Arabidopsis thaliana: one gene and its partner. The protein of the gene in region 1 interacts with the protein of each later gene in a pairwise test. Each region holds a gene or a part of one and is shown on either strand. Other genes may lie near its edges.

The links. Proteins that work in one complex are often made in the same cells at the same time.
Region 2: the proteins of FUT10 (region 1) and CRK33 interact in a protein complementation assay, tested with the Arabidopsis thaliana proteins (one large-scale study listed by BioGRID).

What each region holds. Positions count from the first base shown.
Region 1 is NC_003071.7:6,685,509-6,692,957, reverse strand, and holds FUT10 (fucosyltransferase 10), read left to right. Parts: upstream 1-3,138; 5' UTR 3,139-3,197; coding exon 3,198-3,294; intron 3,295-3,370; coding exon 3,371-4,818; 3' UTR 4,819-4,836; downstream 4,837-7,449. UniProt on the Arabidopsis thaliana protein: May be involved in cell wall biosynthesis. May act as a fucosyltransferase.
Region 2 is NC_003075.7:6,975,551-6,983,853, forward strand, and holds CRK33 (cysteine-rich RLK (RECEPTOR-like protein kinase) 33), read left to right. Parts: upstream 1-3,297; coding exon 3,298-4,069; intron 4,070-4,225; coding exon 4,226-4,351; intron 4,352-4,635; coding exon 4,636-4,748; intron 4,749-4,817; coding exon 4,818-5,028; intron 5,029-5,118; coding exon 5,119-5,356; intron 5,357-5,455; coding exon 5,456-5,609; intron 5,610-5,701; coding exon 5,702-5,998; downstream 5,999-8,303. Other genes in the region: LCR11 (low-molecular-weight cysteine-rich 11), read right to left, coding at 335-395.

The DNA.
Region 1 (7,449 bases):
CATTAGAAGAAGAACAAGCTAAGTGCTATGCTATCCTCTCTCTTGGTTGCGAGTGTGAGTTTCACATGTAGATTGTAATATTGCTAAAATGTAGTCATGTCTCTTCTTCTTTCTTTATCGTGTTGTATCGTAGATCGGATAAGGGTTTGAGAAGTTATATAGCTTGTAACAAACTTGTTAGAACTTGTAACAATCTTCATAAGATTCTGGTTTTGAATCCCAACTCGTAATATATGTGTTCTTTATTTTGCATCATTCTCTTGGAAATCTCATTCCTATTAAGCAATGTCTAATCGGGAACTAATTATAGTTGATTAAGATTCACAAACAAGGCTTGTTATCTGAATCTGCTCAATTCAAAGTGATATATTCGACGCGAGACTGATGTTTTAGGAGACTCAAGAAGATACATTCATCTTGTTAGATGTCTCCCATTATCATTTATAATTTCACAAGTTTTGTAAAGAAAAAAGCATAGTAAGGTATAAAACATAGACTTACACGCTGCCACATCAAAATGGGGTTGCTGAGAGGATTAAATCAAACAGTTATAAAAAAAGGGAGAATTAGTAGAGTGACTCATATTTCATTCAGAATAACTAGAAAGGAATGGTAAAAATATGAGTTATATAGGTAATAATTATGCCTAAAATATCCCTGTTTTCCTTTGCAGAAAAAATAATATTACAGAAATACCATTACTATTTAATTCCAGCATGGCAATAAAACCACATTTATTTACGAAACTGCCATCGTCGTTTTTGGTAAATCTGTGGCTCTTGTTACGACAGATTTGTTTTCGATCACAGATTTTTTGGTCAACCACATATTTTTTACAACAGACTTGTTTTGTACCACAAATTTTACTGGATTAAGTTACGACATATTTTTATTTTTTCGCAGATTTGTTTATTGTGACAGATTTGTTTCATATAGTCTCCACAGATTTTTCTAAACTTTCAAAATTTAGAATGTTGAAATCAAATCTATCACTGATTTGTTTTCCATACAGTAGATTTTTCTTAATGGTGGCAGCAGATTTTCTATTTGTAACCAAAAGTCTGTTGTGTTATAACAGATTTGTTAACTCGGAAAAATGTTATATAGTCATGATAGAGTTGTTTTGTGTAATCACAGATTTAATTAACTTGTTAACAAATCTGGTGTTTTACAACAAATTTTTGTTAAAAATTACAATTACTACACAGTCACATAGTGATAACAGATTTGTTTTTAGTGATAACAGTTTTGTTTTTCAGTGTCAAAGCATAACAGATTTTCTCATGTCAATGTTATGGCCGATTTGTTTATCACTAGAATAACCTTTTTAGTAATAACAGATTTTTTGTTAACAGATTTGTTTTTAAAATCTTTAATTTTTTTATTACATGAGTTTTATTAGCTAAGCAATTTTACTCAAGTAAAATCTTTCCGGTTTGATTATATGTTAAAATCGGTTTGATTCAATTTAACTTTAAAAAAAAAATCGATAACATCACCACAGAAAACAGCCCACCAAAACCTACTAATCCTCATAATTCAAAAGTGATAACATACAATCTGCCATTCTTAAACAATCTACGACAATATTACTTTAATTGATAAAAAATAAAATGTGGAAAATGATTTACGAACTACAACGGATTGATAAGAAATAGACTTTTCGGTGTTACTCGAAAACATGATCTTAACTTTTCGGTGTACAAGAACTGGAAAACACGAGCGAAGGGCTTTTTAATTTTACATACTAAAGTTCTTAACTTTTAGTTTGCCCATTTGCTTAGTACGTTCCTTTACAAGCTATGACAACATTAATTTAATTGATAAGAAATAGAAATGTGGTTTCCATAACCGGATTTCTGAGTTTTGTTATTTTTACATTTGTTTATTTATTTTTATTAGTAATTCTTTTTTTTTTTAATCAAAATATAGTTTTAATACTGACTGAGGTTAAATAGTCTTTTAACTTAAAATATGAGTCATAATAGTTAGTCATCGATTATTGGGAGTCACAATAGTTATTTCTATTAAGATTAGAGTCAGTCTAAGCAATTTTCACTAAAAAAAATGAGAAATATGTTGAGTAATAATGGACTTGGTCAAAGGTTCTAGGCGGAAACCAAACCATAGTTCTATTCGTGTAATGTTAGAGCCTTACAGTTCAATCGTTTTGGAATATCTTTTTGAGCGTTTGTTAATCGAGTTTAGGAATTTGACTATGGTAAATCGTTTCAGCAATGCACATGACTTTATCTAATTCATTATATGGATAAAAAATAAGTGATTATATTTGAAGAGTGGGAATGTAAACAGATCTCAATATATGTTCAGTAACAAAATGTTGCATATTTCACTATATTAATTCAAGTTTGCATGCTGCGGAGGGAGTATAGAGTCACATGGGTCAATTGACCCTGGTTAAATTTAAAAAATTAGCTGAAGTTTTATTTAATATGTTAGATTGACTCTAATCAAATAAGAAAATTGACCCCTATAAAACAATTTACTTGAGAAGACTTCTAATAGTTAAGCCCAACAACTATATTGTATTTAGGTAATTGTACTTGTATATAGAATTCACCTCAATAATATTTTGTTTTAAAAGTAAATATACTATAATTAAGCCCATTAATATACTTTAACCTATTATTTAACATTTTTTGTATTCTAAAAACGTTATAGTTTCTTTTTTCTTATTTTTTTTCTTTGTTTCAATCTTCAATCTTGAGTTTATAACTTATGCGGTTTTAGAAAGAATTTTTTTTTGACCCCGATGGATCGATACGCTGGCTCCGCCACGTGCCAGACAATCCCTACTTCTTTAGATTCCAAGATTACAATATTGTAACACCCGTTAATTCACAACAGCTCTCTTATTGACATTTTTTTCGTTAATTATTTCTAAATCACAATTTGGAATTCTAACAACAAAAACAAAAAACAATTTTATTGGTAACTCAACAATAAACAAAACAAATTTGGAATCACGTTCGGAGATCGTGTGTAGTCAACTCAACAATTCACATTAAAATATTCGAAGTCTTATTTACATGATCTGTGGTTGATAATAGAAGTTATAATCAAGCTATATAAAAGTTGTAAACTCTTTTTGAATCATCTCACACTTATAACCGATCAAACGAAAGTCAACAACTAACACAAATTTCATATCTCCAACAAAGGCTTTGGGGTTGAAGATGAAAATTCTGATCGCGGTCGTCTTTGGTTGCTTACTAATTATACTATCATTCTCAAAATACTTCAACGACCAACTTCTTGATGCTACAACCAAAGGTAAGAAAATTATCCATATCTTGTGTTTTATTGTTAACCCAATGAATCCTCAGTTCATATCATTTTCTTGTTATAGATATAAAGGAATCCGAAAGACCGGTGGATAAACTTATAGGAGGGCTTTTAACTGCGGATTTTGATGAAGGTTCTTGCTTGAGTAGGTATCATAAATATTTCTTGTACCGCAAGCCTTCTCCATACATGCCTTCGGAATATCTCGTCTCTGAGCTTAGAAGCTATGAGATGCTTCACAAACGTTGCGGTCCGGATACCAAGGCTTACAAAGAAGCAACAGAGAAGCTTAGTCGTGATGAGTACTATGCAAGCGAATCAAATGGTGAATGCAGATACATTGTATGGCTAGCTAGGGACGGGCTTGGAAACAGATTAATTACTCTTGCTTCCGTGTTTCTCTACGCTATCTTGACTGAGAGAATCATTCTTGTTGACAACCGCAAGGATGTTAGTGATCTCTTATGTGAGCCATTTCCAGGTACTTCATGGTTGCTTCCGCTTGACTTTCCAATGCTGAATTATACTTATGCTTATGGCTACAATAAGGAATACCCTCGTTGTTACGGTACAATGTTGGAAAATCATGCCATCAACTCGACTTCAATTCCGCCACATCTATATCTCCATAACATCCATGATTCTAGGGATAGTGATAAGCTGTTCTTCTGCCAAAAGGATCAAAGTTTTATCGACAAAGTCCCATGGTTAATTATTCAAACCAATGCTTACTTTGTTCCATCTTTATGGCTGAATCCAACTTTCCAAACCAAACTAGTTAAGCTATTCCCGCAGAAAGAAACCGTCTTTCACCATTTGGCTCGGTATCTTTTTCACCCTACAAATGAAGTTTGGGATATGGTCACTAAGTACTACGATGCTCACTTGTCCAATGCAGACGAGAGACTTGGGATTCAAATAAGGGTTTTCGGAAAACCTTCTGGATATTTCAAACATGTCATGGACCAAGTCGTAGCATGTACACAAAGAGAGAAACTGTTGCCTGAATTTGAAGAAGAATCAAAAGTCAATATATCTAAACCACCAAAGCTTAAAGTAGTTCTTGTCGCATCTCTCTATCCAGAGTACTCTGTCAACTTAACTAACATGTTTTTAGCGAGGCCAAGTTCTACAGGAGAGATTATCGAAGTTTATCAGCCAAGTGCAGAAAGAGTGCAGCAAACAGACAAGAAAAGTCACGACCAAAAGGCGCTTGCTGAGATGTATCTTTTGAGTTTAACCGATAACATTGTCACAAGCGGATGGTCTACATTTGGATATGTTTCATACAGTCTTGGAGGATTAAAGCCATGGTTACTTTATCAGCCAGTAAATTTCACCACTCCTAATCCACCGTGTGTTCGATCCAAGTCGATGGAGCCATGTTACCATACTCCTCCTTCGCATGGATGTGAAGCTGACTGGGGAACTAACTCGGGGAAGATTCTTCCTTTTGTTAGGCATTGTGAGGATATGATGTATGGGGGGCTTAAGCTATATGATGACTTTTAGTTCTATTTTATCACATTTGATTATTGAGTTCTTAAAATCAAAAGAGAAATTCTATCTCTCTTTACAGTTTATTAATATGTTAGATTTTTTTAAAACGTTTACGAGGTTTGCATGATTTAGAATAACTGTTGGTGTGTAGAGAAAGGAGACCACGTCCCTAAAGGAATGAGCCGCCATCGAGAAAGGGATACACAATCGAACACTCAAGAACCCTAGAAAAGAGCCTACAAAGAACCTTAATCTTCTTTATCTTCTCTTCCATCTTTTCACTGATTTTTTGGATTCGTCTAAGGTTTGGGAACGATATCATACTGCACCACTATGGATGCAAATTCACCAAGGCACACGGCTACAAAGGTGTTCACGAAGATCTTCTAGAAAGAAGACTGATAGGCCAGAGTTTGAGCTTGATTCTTCAGGAGAATACTTTGCTCCTCCAGGAGTCGAGATTGCTTCTCCAAGAGGAGGAGGTGCTTCTCCATGTTTTCCCTCCAAGACACTTCCAAAAACGGTGTTACAAACAGAGATCGCAAAACAAATGAGGAATATTAAAAAAAAACATTGTTCAACCTAGACTAAACGTATACAAGAGATTGATTCAAACACACATTCACACATTTATAACCAAATATTAAAAAGAATGATGAGAAAATGAATTTCCACAATGCTTTGGAAACCGATGAATTTCCAAGAATGATGAGAAAGTTAATAACCAAATAGTGAACCCATTTCTTTCCTTTTCTAGAATCAATCTCAAATTGATGAGATTGTCGTTCTTGGCTATCATCTCTTGGATGAAACTCCATAATCGTCTAATGCTCTTGATGTTGTTAGTTGATATCTTCTCCGGCATCAATTCGTAGATTCTCCATAGATAAAATACAAAGCATACTACGAGACTTAGCGAGGTCCGTTTATAGAGATTTACATCAATTCTTGCAAAGATAGTATTTTTTCTTTGGTGATGTTTTGTTTGTACCGAAGTTGTAACAACGAATAAGTAAGGGATTGTCAGGGACAACAAAGTAATTTTTATTAGATGACGAATGAAAACGGTAAACAACAGGTTGATCAAATAATTACAAGTAATTTCTATCGATCGGCAACGTAATATGAATCGAATTGAGAACAAAACGAACCGAGAACAAAAACGAACCGAGAACAAAACGAACCGAAAGACAAGGTTTTTTAGTATGAATATTGTCCTGATTCTCTGGGAATTAACTTGTGTATCACTATTTCGCAAATAGTGCTTTATTTATAGGACAAATTTTCTGACCTAAAGATTCTTCTACTCCTTCTGTAAATTACTGTTTTGCCTTTGACGTTTAATGGGCTGATTTGGTGAAGACAATGGGTCCATTGAACACTTAAATCTCTCTTTTGACCAAATGATATAGAAAAGGTGAGCCCATGTCCAACAGGTTTTGCCAAACTTGTTTATGAAAAAATATCATTCTATTTACATAATAAATATTAAATATATTTTCTATAATATAGTTAGTGATGTAGAAGCCAAACTTCTAGTCAACTGTAGCCTGTATCCCCAGTCCCCACGCAAAGTTTATGTGTCAAAAATCTGTATATAAGCTTTTGATTTCTTTGTCATATTTTAACCACAAATATACAGTAGAATCGAATCCACAGAGACCATGCAGTTGAGAAAATAACTTGAAACTGTTCTACAATTCAAATCATGGGTGTAAGATTATTCTACTCTCGCATCAATAAATTTTATGAATACCATTTTAAGATTTTAAACTCACGTTTGAATTTAGGAAGCAAGCCTTACACAACTAAACTACTCAATCATGCATCATCAGGTAAAATATCACAAATTATGTATAGAATTTCACAATCATAAATCAAATGTAAAGAGTAAAATGCTTAAAGAAAACTTATCAATGTCGAGACCAAAATTTGTGATTGTGAAATCAGATTAAGTAATTTTAAGCAATATGTTTATCTCTTAATTTACGTGAAAAAGAGTAGTGACAACTATCACCAAAAAAAAAAAAAAAAAAGGCAAAAACCTTAATAATATATATTTGTATAAATATAAAATTTAATCACCAAAAAGAAAGTTTGTACAATCAATGCGTCATAGAGAATTGAGAATAAAGACCAATCAAAAACTGAGAATTACATCAAAATGGGAGAGCTAGTGGCTGCGGACATGAAACCAATATCGAAGACCTTCATCATAGACACTCATTATAGACGAAATTTGGCATAAAAATACCCTTGAGATAGAAATCTATAACGATAGCAGTCAATTCAATTGTTAAACTAAAATTAAAATAAAGTAGATACCGTTTCTTTCACACATTAAATTGAATCAATAATTCATAAGAAACACAATGGGGTCAACATTTTATTAACGACGACAGACGACACCAAGATAGAGCCTACCAACTAGAAGTTATGCTTTTGCTATTCCTAAATGCATGTATGCAAGCAAATTAAGTACCCCAGTCCCCACATTTAAGAAAACGTATATACCGTACATATTAGTTTTTGAGGTTTAGGACTTAGTATTTACTATTTAGATTTTAAGGCATAAAGGTCTTTCAACAAAAAAAAAAAAAAACTATTAATGAAAAAGTGCAAATGTTAAAGCGCTTGACACAA
Region 2 (8,303 bases), on another chromosome or scaffold:
ACATAAAAATATCAGTTTCTTTTTTTTGAAGATTAATGTTTAAATACTTTTGCATATATTAATTAATAAAGTATTGGACATAATGGAAAAAAGCTATCCAAAAACTATGGATACTATGGTTTTGGAATGACTTTGATCTTTAACACTATTTGACAAGGTTTTGATATAAAAATATTGAATTTGCTATTAAATAATTAAATTTAGCTATTTAAGTGAGATATAGAATTGACATTATTCAGATAGATTGCATGTTCTTAATATCTAATTTTATTTTCATATGATAAAATATATAAATATTTTTTAAGAAAATATGTTTGTAAATCTAACTACAAACCTATTGCAAGGACGATGAAGATAGTTAGAATGGTTGTTGATAGTTGACTAGCTTTCTTCATCTCATATACTCTAAACAAATTGATGATGTTTTTTTTTTTTTTTTTTTTTTTTTTTTTTTTTTTTGTTTTGTCAGATGATGTTTTTGGTTAATTTGTTTAATGAAAAAGTGAACAAAATTTAAAGTATATATAAGAAAAGTTAGATGTGTCTATTTTTTTAATGATACATCTTAGATCTATCACCTCCTGAAATTTAGGTTAAAAAAACGTGGTTCTCCATTAATTCCATTTTTTTGTTAAAGGATTGATTCCAATTTTTTTCCTTATCTAATTAAGGAGTCTTAGAAGTTAGAACCACACAATAATTTCAGTTAACACCATTAAATTACAAAAAAAAACTTTTTGATGGGTGATTTAAGTAAGAGGAGAAATTAAAAAAAAGATATATGTTCGCCTTAAAATTTGTTGAAACAATGTGAAATTCAAAAATAATAATAAAAAATCAAATGTATTTCGGAGACTGCATAACTCGTCTTTGGATAATACATTAATACCATACATTTTTTCTTTTATTCTAGTCTCTTTTCTATATATATATATATATATTTATTTATTTATTTATTTTTAAAAACCTATTTAGATAAAACATAGAAGATTTTAAAGAATAGAATGTATTTACGACAAAAAAAGAAAAGAATAGAATGTATTTACAGCAAATGAAAGTAACATACATAATTACATACAAAAAGCTAGTAAGAACCTTCACACCAAAAAAAAACTGGTACGAACCAAACTGATTTACCAATCAACAGAGCCGATCCTAGGTTGTGGGGCTTAAAACATTTTTAGTATGTGGTCTTTCCAAAATATACTAACAATAAACGTTTAATATTAATAATCTATAAAACATGAAAGGGAAAAAATACTATAAGCATTATCTGAACGTGAAACAAAACAAACACTATAGAAACGTGAAAAGAAAAAAATTGCTAAGAAAAAGGGTAATTTGCAGCAAAAAAAAAGAAGGAACGAAGTAAGTAGAAGTTGTGGTCGTTTGATCCCACGATCAAGGATGGGTCGGGCCTGCCAATCAACAATAGAAAAATATATTGTGAAAACATTAGCAATGAATTGTCACTAGTCCAAACAGATTACAACTTTTCAAAGTTCTTTACACCCTCATAATTTCTTGTTTTATGCATCCAACTCTATGGTTTAGCATATGTGGTCCAGTTGTAGGAGGGAGCTTTGGTAAAGGGTTTTGTTGTAATCTTAAAACTTGGGGCCTATTTATAGAAGAAAAAAAATAATTGAGGGCCTATTTTGTAAAGAAAAATTTTCTAAAACTTTGGGAATCACATTCAATTGTTTCTCCTTGCTCCGTTGAGTTACCGCACTAATGCTCACTACTAGCAAACACACTCTTTCAGTGCGACAGCCTCATGAGCTTGAAGTTGTTTAGCAAATCGGTTCCTACCAATGTACTAAACCGGTTATATAATCTGATTATGTATAACCAAACCGGTTATTGTATAAATGTCCAACCGGGGTTCACGATTCTACCGTTGTTCCGCCTAATTCTGATTTGTTAAACGACGAGAAATTTCTTATGGAAGTTAGGGTTTCCTGGCCGTTGATTGGTTCGTTCCCTGTTACCTTGTTCCATTCCAATCAGTTCTCGTAGAGCTTCTAATGTCACGGCTCGTGATGGCTTCTTCAATTCTTCGAGTGGGAGGATGCGTAATCCATGTGCCAATAGCAGAGTCGTGCTCAGATTGTACCAGGGGCGGATCTAGGTGTATGGGATGTGGGGCACGTGCCCTACATTAAATTATAAGTATTAGCTTGTAAACTTATGCAGTTTAAATGATTCAGCACAACTGGTTAAGTGTTTTCAATATTCGTCCATCCTTACCCAGGTTCGAGACTAGTTGAAGTAACTTTTTTCTTTTTTTGACTTTGCTCATTTTTTCCCCCAATTTTATCAATTTAATCACTTATTTCTTCCTTTGATTTATGAACATCCACTTTTAACTTTCTTTTAAAATTTCTTTATTAATTGATTAGATAGTATATGTGTATTGATATATTTCTAAAATGTTTGATATATCTATTCATTTACTTTTATGTGAAAATGAATAACAAAGTTATATGAACACAATTTCATAGTTTTTTTTTGGGTACCTATATAAATTGTGAGAAACAAATTACAGAATTTATTGAACTACATATTTTATCACAAACTTATAGTTTAATAACGAATAGTATATATAATAATTTTGATAAAAAATAATATATAATAAGTAAATTAATAGTGCCCCAGATTAAATATTTTTCTAGATCCGCCACTGGATTGTACCATGGAAGCGTCTGATGGAGTTGTCTTAATTAGACATATGCCAATGGAAATGTAATGCTGTCCGACAATCGTCTTGATGCTTCAAGTAGCCTGTATTTTTTTTTCCGTGGGGGTTCGAAACTTGGATTCAGTCAGGTCATTCTTTAATCTTTACTTTAAACCCATTGTCAACAATGCCTCTAGTAAAACAATGGTTTTGTATTACTGTTTGTGCTGAGAAAGTAATAAGATAAGCTATTGAAATTGTCAAAATATTACTAATTTGGGTCTTTGGATTGCTCAATTTGTTGGTTATTTAACTCATATCACTCTGCTTCGTTGTGTTACGTTGAGGAGATTCATTCAACAAGCATAGTGGGCGTGTAGTCTGGGTGCATCTCACATCATTAACATTTTTGAAACTTCAACATTCTTTTAATAAACATATAACACATCAGCTCATTGCTTTGATTGGTTCTCTGATTTTGTCTATGCTCTGACTTAGCTTTTATAATGCCTTGGATATTTTAAGTTTGACAACTTGCTGAGAGAACTCAATTGCTATTTAACTGATATGAAGTGTACGGATATGTACATACTAACCCCAAACACATTTGTAAAATCATGAGAAAGACCAAGAAGATTTCCTTTTTGATCTTCTGGGTTGTTCTCATAAGCATAATTGGTGCTATTTCTTCGCAACAATGCAACGAAACTGGGTATTTTGAACCTTGGAAAACTTACGACACCAACCGTAGGCAGATCCTTACATCTCTTGCTTCCAAAGTGGTGGATCACTACGGCTTCTACAATTCTTCCATCGGCAAAGTTCCTGACGAAGTGCACGTAATGGGGATGTGCATCGACGGGACCGAACCTACGGTTTGCTCCGATTGTCTCAAGGTCGCGGCCGACCAATTACAAGAGAATTGTCCTAACCAAACTGAAGCGTATACATGGACACCTCATAAGACGCTCTGTTTTGCTCGTTACTCTAACAGTTCATTCTTCAAGAGGGTTGGATTGCACCCACTTTACATGGAGCATAGTAATGTGGATATCAAATCAAATTTGACATATTTAAATACGATATGGGAGGCTCTAACGGATCGTTTGATGTCTGACGCATCCTCGGATTATAATGCATCATTATCTAGTCGTAGATATTATGCAGCTAATGTAACAAATCTGACAAATTTCCAGAATATATATGCATTAATGCTATGCACTCCTGATCTAGAAAAAGGTGCTTGTCACAACTGTCTGGAAAAAGCTGTTTCTGAATATGGCAACCTTAGGATGCAAAGAGGAATTGTTGCATGGCCAAGCTGCTGTTTTCGGTGGGATCTGTATCCCTTCATCGGAGCTTTTAATTTGACACTTTCACCCCCGCCAGGTAATTCCTCAACTAAAAGAAAAAATATGATTCTAAGAACGTATCATTCTGCTAAGTTGCTGACCAATAGTTTGAGAAAGGTTTGAAACAGATTCAATCACTGGATGATGCATTTTCTCTATTGTAAACTATCCTCTGTGATTCTACTATGCCCAGGTAGCAAAAGGAATATCTCAGTTGGATTCTTTGTGGCCATTGTTGTTGCCACCGGAGTTGTCATCTCTGTGCTATCTACTTTAGTAGTAGTACTTGTTTGCAGAAAGAGAAAAACTGATCCTCCAGGTGAGTTGATTCGTATTTTACTCACTGATTTCTTTTTCTTTAAGAACAATAAGGCATGCATGCTTAATCAGGAACACTGCATGATGCCGGGACAAGGGAATTTTAACTAGGAATAGTTTATTCAGTTCAATGGTCAACTATCTAAAACTTCTTATTAGCTAACCAATGTTTATTAGAAAAATGAAAAACTTTGGTGAATATGAAAACATATCATCATGGTTTAGATTTGTTATGTGTACGTACTTCCATGTTGCAAGGAATAATATGACATTTCTGTGTAGCAGAGGAATCACCTAAATATTCACTGCAGTATGATCTTAAGACAATTGAAGCTGCAACATGTACCTTTTCAAAGTGCAACATGCTTGGTCAAGGTGGATTTGGAGAAGTTTTCAAGGTAAATCTTCTCAACTTCCATTAATGAATATAGGTGGTGTGATGATCTTATTCTCTTTATTATTTGTAGGGTGTGCTTCAAGACGGATCAGAAATTGCAGTGAAGAGGCTGTCAAAAGAATCAGCTCAAGGTGTACAAGAGTTCCAGAATGAGACTAGTCTCGTGGCAAAGCTTCAGCACAGAAATTTGGTTGGAGTTCTCGGGTTTTGTATGGAAGGAGAAGAAAAGATACTCGTATACGAATTTGTTCCCAACAAAAGCCTCGACCAGTTCTTGTTTGGTATTTTGCATATAACACTCAGCTCATAGTTTTTGAAGTTCTAATGATGAAGTTGCAGTTCTTGAAACTTATTTTAATTGACTTACACAGAACCTACAAAGAAAGGCCAACTGGATTGGGCGAAACGGTACAAGATTATTGTTGGAACTGCTAGAGGAATTCTATATCTTCATCATGACTCACCCCTCAAAATCATACACCGTGACCTCAAAGCTAGTAACATCCTCTTAGATGCTGAAATGGAACCCAAAGTCGCAGATTTTGGAATGGCAAGAATTTTTAGGGTGGATCAATCTCGAGCGGATACAAGAAGGGTAGTTGGAACCCAGTAAGTACCCTTTCTTCTTTTTTGCCTTTCAATCTCTGAAGTTTTGATGACCTTTTTGTCACTGGTAAACTCAAGAATTATTTTTTGTTTTCTTTCTAGTGGCTACATATCTCCAGAGTATTTGATGCATGGCCAGTTCTCGGTGAAATCTGATGTCTATAGTTTTGGAGTCTTGGTTCTTGAGATTATAAGTGGAAAAAGAAACAGCAACTTCCATGAAACTGATGAATCCGGAAAGAATTTGGTCACATATGTGAGCATTAAAAACTAAACTTTGGAAAGACTCTACTTTTTTAACCATGCAATGTAACGTAAGGTTTTGACTACTAGTGATCATTGTGGTAGGCTTGGAGGCATTGGAGAAACGGATCACCATTAGAGCTTGTGGATTCAGAACTCGAAAAGAATTATCAGAGTAATGAAGTCTTCAGATGCATCCATATCGCGCTATTATGTGTTCAAAATGATCCAGAACAACGTCCGAATTTATCTACTATCATCATGATGCTCACAAGTAACTCCATCACTTTACCGGTGCCTCAGTCACCGGTATATGAGGGAATGGACATGTTTCTACCTTCTATCAAATCTCTTCCTGGTTCTGTCAACGATTCATTGATTGATGACTTAGTTCCTCGCTGAAGATGACAGTTACTTCATATCCGAGGTGTTTCTATAATTTCTCTTAGCACTTTTTACTTTTGTTGTGTTGAGTCATACAGTGTTACTAAAATACATTGAAACTCTCTCTTACAGGGTTTCCTCTGTTCAAGCGAAGTTCGAAGATAAGCTGACTCAAGCAGGTTTTATATAACTCAAAGATTGGTGTTTTTGAAAGTTCTAACCGGAAATCAAATTGGTTTGTATGATTTTAACCGATTTCTGTTTACGGTTTTATAATGATGTCTCCTTGGCTATCTTTTGTTGGGGTTTGAATTTGTTTCTTTTGTATTGGTTGGAGGATTGAAAACTAATGTACATGTAAATTTTGGCTAGTCAAGTTTGGCTGCTGACTCCATTTGTCTCCAAATTTGGTCTGCTGACTTCTATAAGGTCTCTCAATTGGCTAACTTAATGCACGTTTTCCTTTTCTTTTTTTTTTTTTGTTTGGATCTCTGCAAATCTAATGTAAAATGGAGCGACATAACATGGGAGTTTTCTGACCAATTCACACTCTACTTGCTTCTTTTTTTGGCAGCACACTCTACTTGTTTAGTTATTATATTGAGTATTATGAATCCATATTATTGGTGGGGAATGGACATTGTGGTTTTGATTATTACTTCTAACTCTTTTTTTTGTCAAAATCAACGGTCCTATCTGTCATGGAAAATCTTCGGAGGATAAACCTTCTAACTTTGAACATTTAACACAGTCTTTGGTTCTGATCTTGAGAGAAGAAACTCAAGAGTTCATTTGTTCTAATCTTTTGTTCTTTCCTTGTAAGGTTAGATGTTGTTTCTGCACAAGTCTGCTTCAATAGCTACTTTAAACCCAATGCTACTTACGACTTAAACCGTCGCCTAATCTTTTCTTCTCTTGCTACTAATGTCACAACTCACAAGGGATTCTATAACTCCTCGATTGGTCAAGACCCCAATAGAGGCTTCATCAATAGTATGTGCATCCCTGGGACTAAACAAGAGACTTGTTCAGATTGTATCAAAGGCGCATCAGACGGCTTATTAAGGAGATATCTTAACCAAACAGAAGCTTAGACATGGCCAGATTGTTGTATGGTACGTTATTCCAACATTTCTTTCTCTGGATTTTGTTTGGAAGGACAAGAAAAAATAAACGTTTACGAGTTAATTTGTACCTAACAAAAGCCTTGACTATTTCCTCTTTGGTATGTTATGAGCTTAGATACTTTTAAGTTCCAAGATGTCCTTATTGTTGCTAATGAGTCATATACTTGCAAATGTACAGACCCTGCAAAACAAGGTGAACTAGATTGGACAAGACGGTACAATATCATTGGGGGGATTGCTCGAGGAATTCTATATCTTCATCAAGATTTACGGCTTACAATCATACACCGTGATCTCAAAGCGAGTAATATTCTCTTAGATGTCGACATGAAACCCAAAATTGCAGATTTTGGCATGGCTAGGATTTACAGAATTGATCAAAGTCATGCCAATTACACAATTAGAATCGTTGGAACATAGTGATTTTTTTTTTCTCTTAACTTATAACCTTACAAATACAAACTATATTTGGTGGTTACTTCTAGGCTAAAAAGTCTAATCCTTATTTGCAGTGGTTATATGTCTCCAGAATATGCAATGCGTAGTCATTTCTCCATGAAATCTGATGTCTATAGCTTTGGTGTAATGATTCTAGAGATTATAAGTGGTAAAACGAATCGCAGCTTCTACTACATTGATGGTTCTCCTAGCAATTTGGTCACTCATGTGAGTATATGATCGTTCAAGTTATATGAGTGTATATGATTAAGCCAAAGGATATTAATTTATTTGATCACTTTTGTTAGGCTTGGAAGCTTTGGAGAACAGGGTCACCTTTTGAACTTGTGGATCCGACAATGGGAGAGAGTTCTCGGAGTAACGAGGCTATTATTAGATGCATCCATATCGCACTTTTATGCGTTCAAGAAGATCCTGTAGATCGACCAATGTTGCCTGCAGCAATAGTCGTGATGCTCACTAGTAACATAGACAATTACCGTTTGCCTCTCAAACATGAATGACCAATCCACAAGCAGGTCTATTCCTTGTTCTAATTAACAATGATGTATCAACACAGTTCTAGATCCTCGTTGAAGAATGGTTTTTTTCTTGATATTGGAACTGTATTGAATATATGGAAGTATCTACATCATCTCTTGTTCTTCTCATTACTCTACTTTATGAGACATTTAAACAAGTATATCAGATAGTAACATTGTACAACAAGATTCACGTTTTAAACATATTTTCAGTAA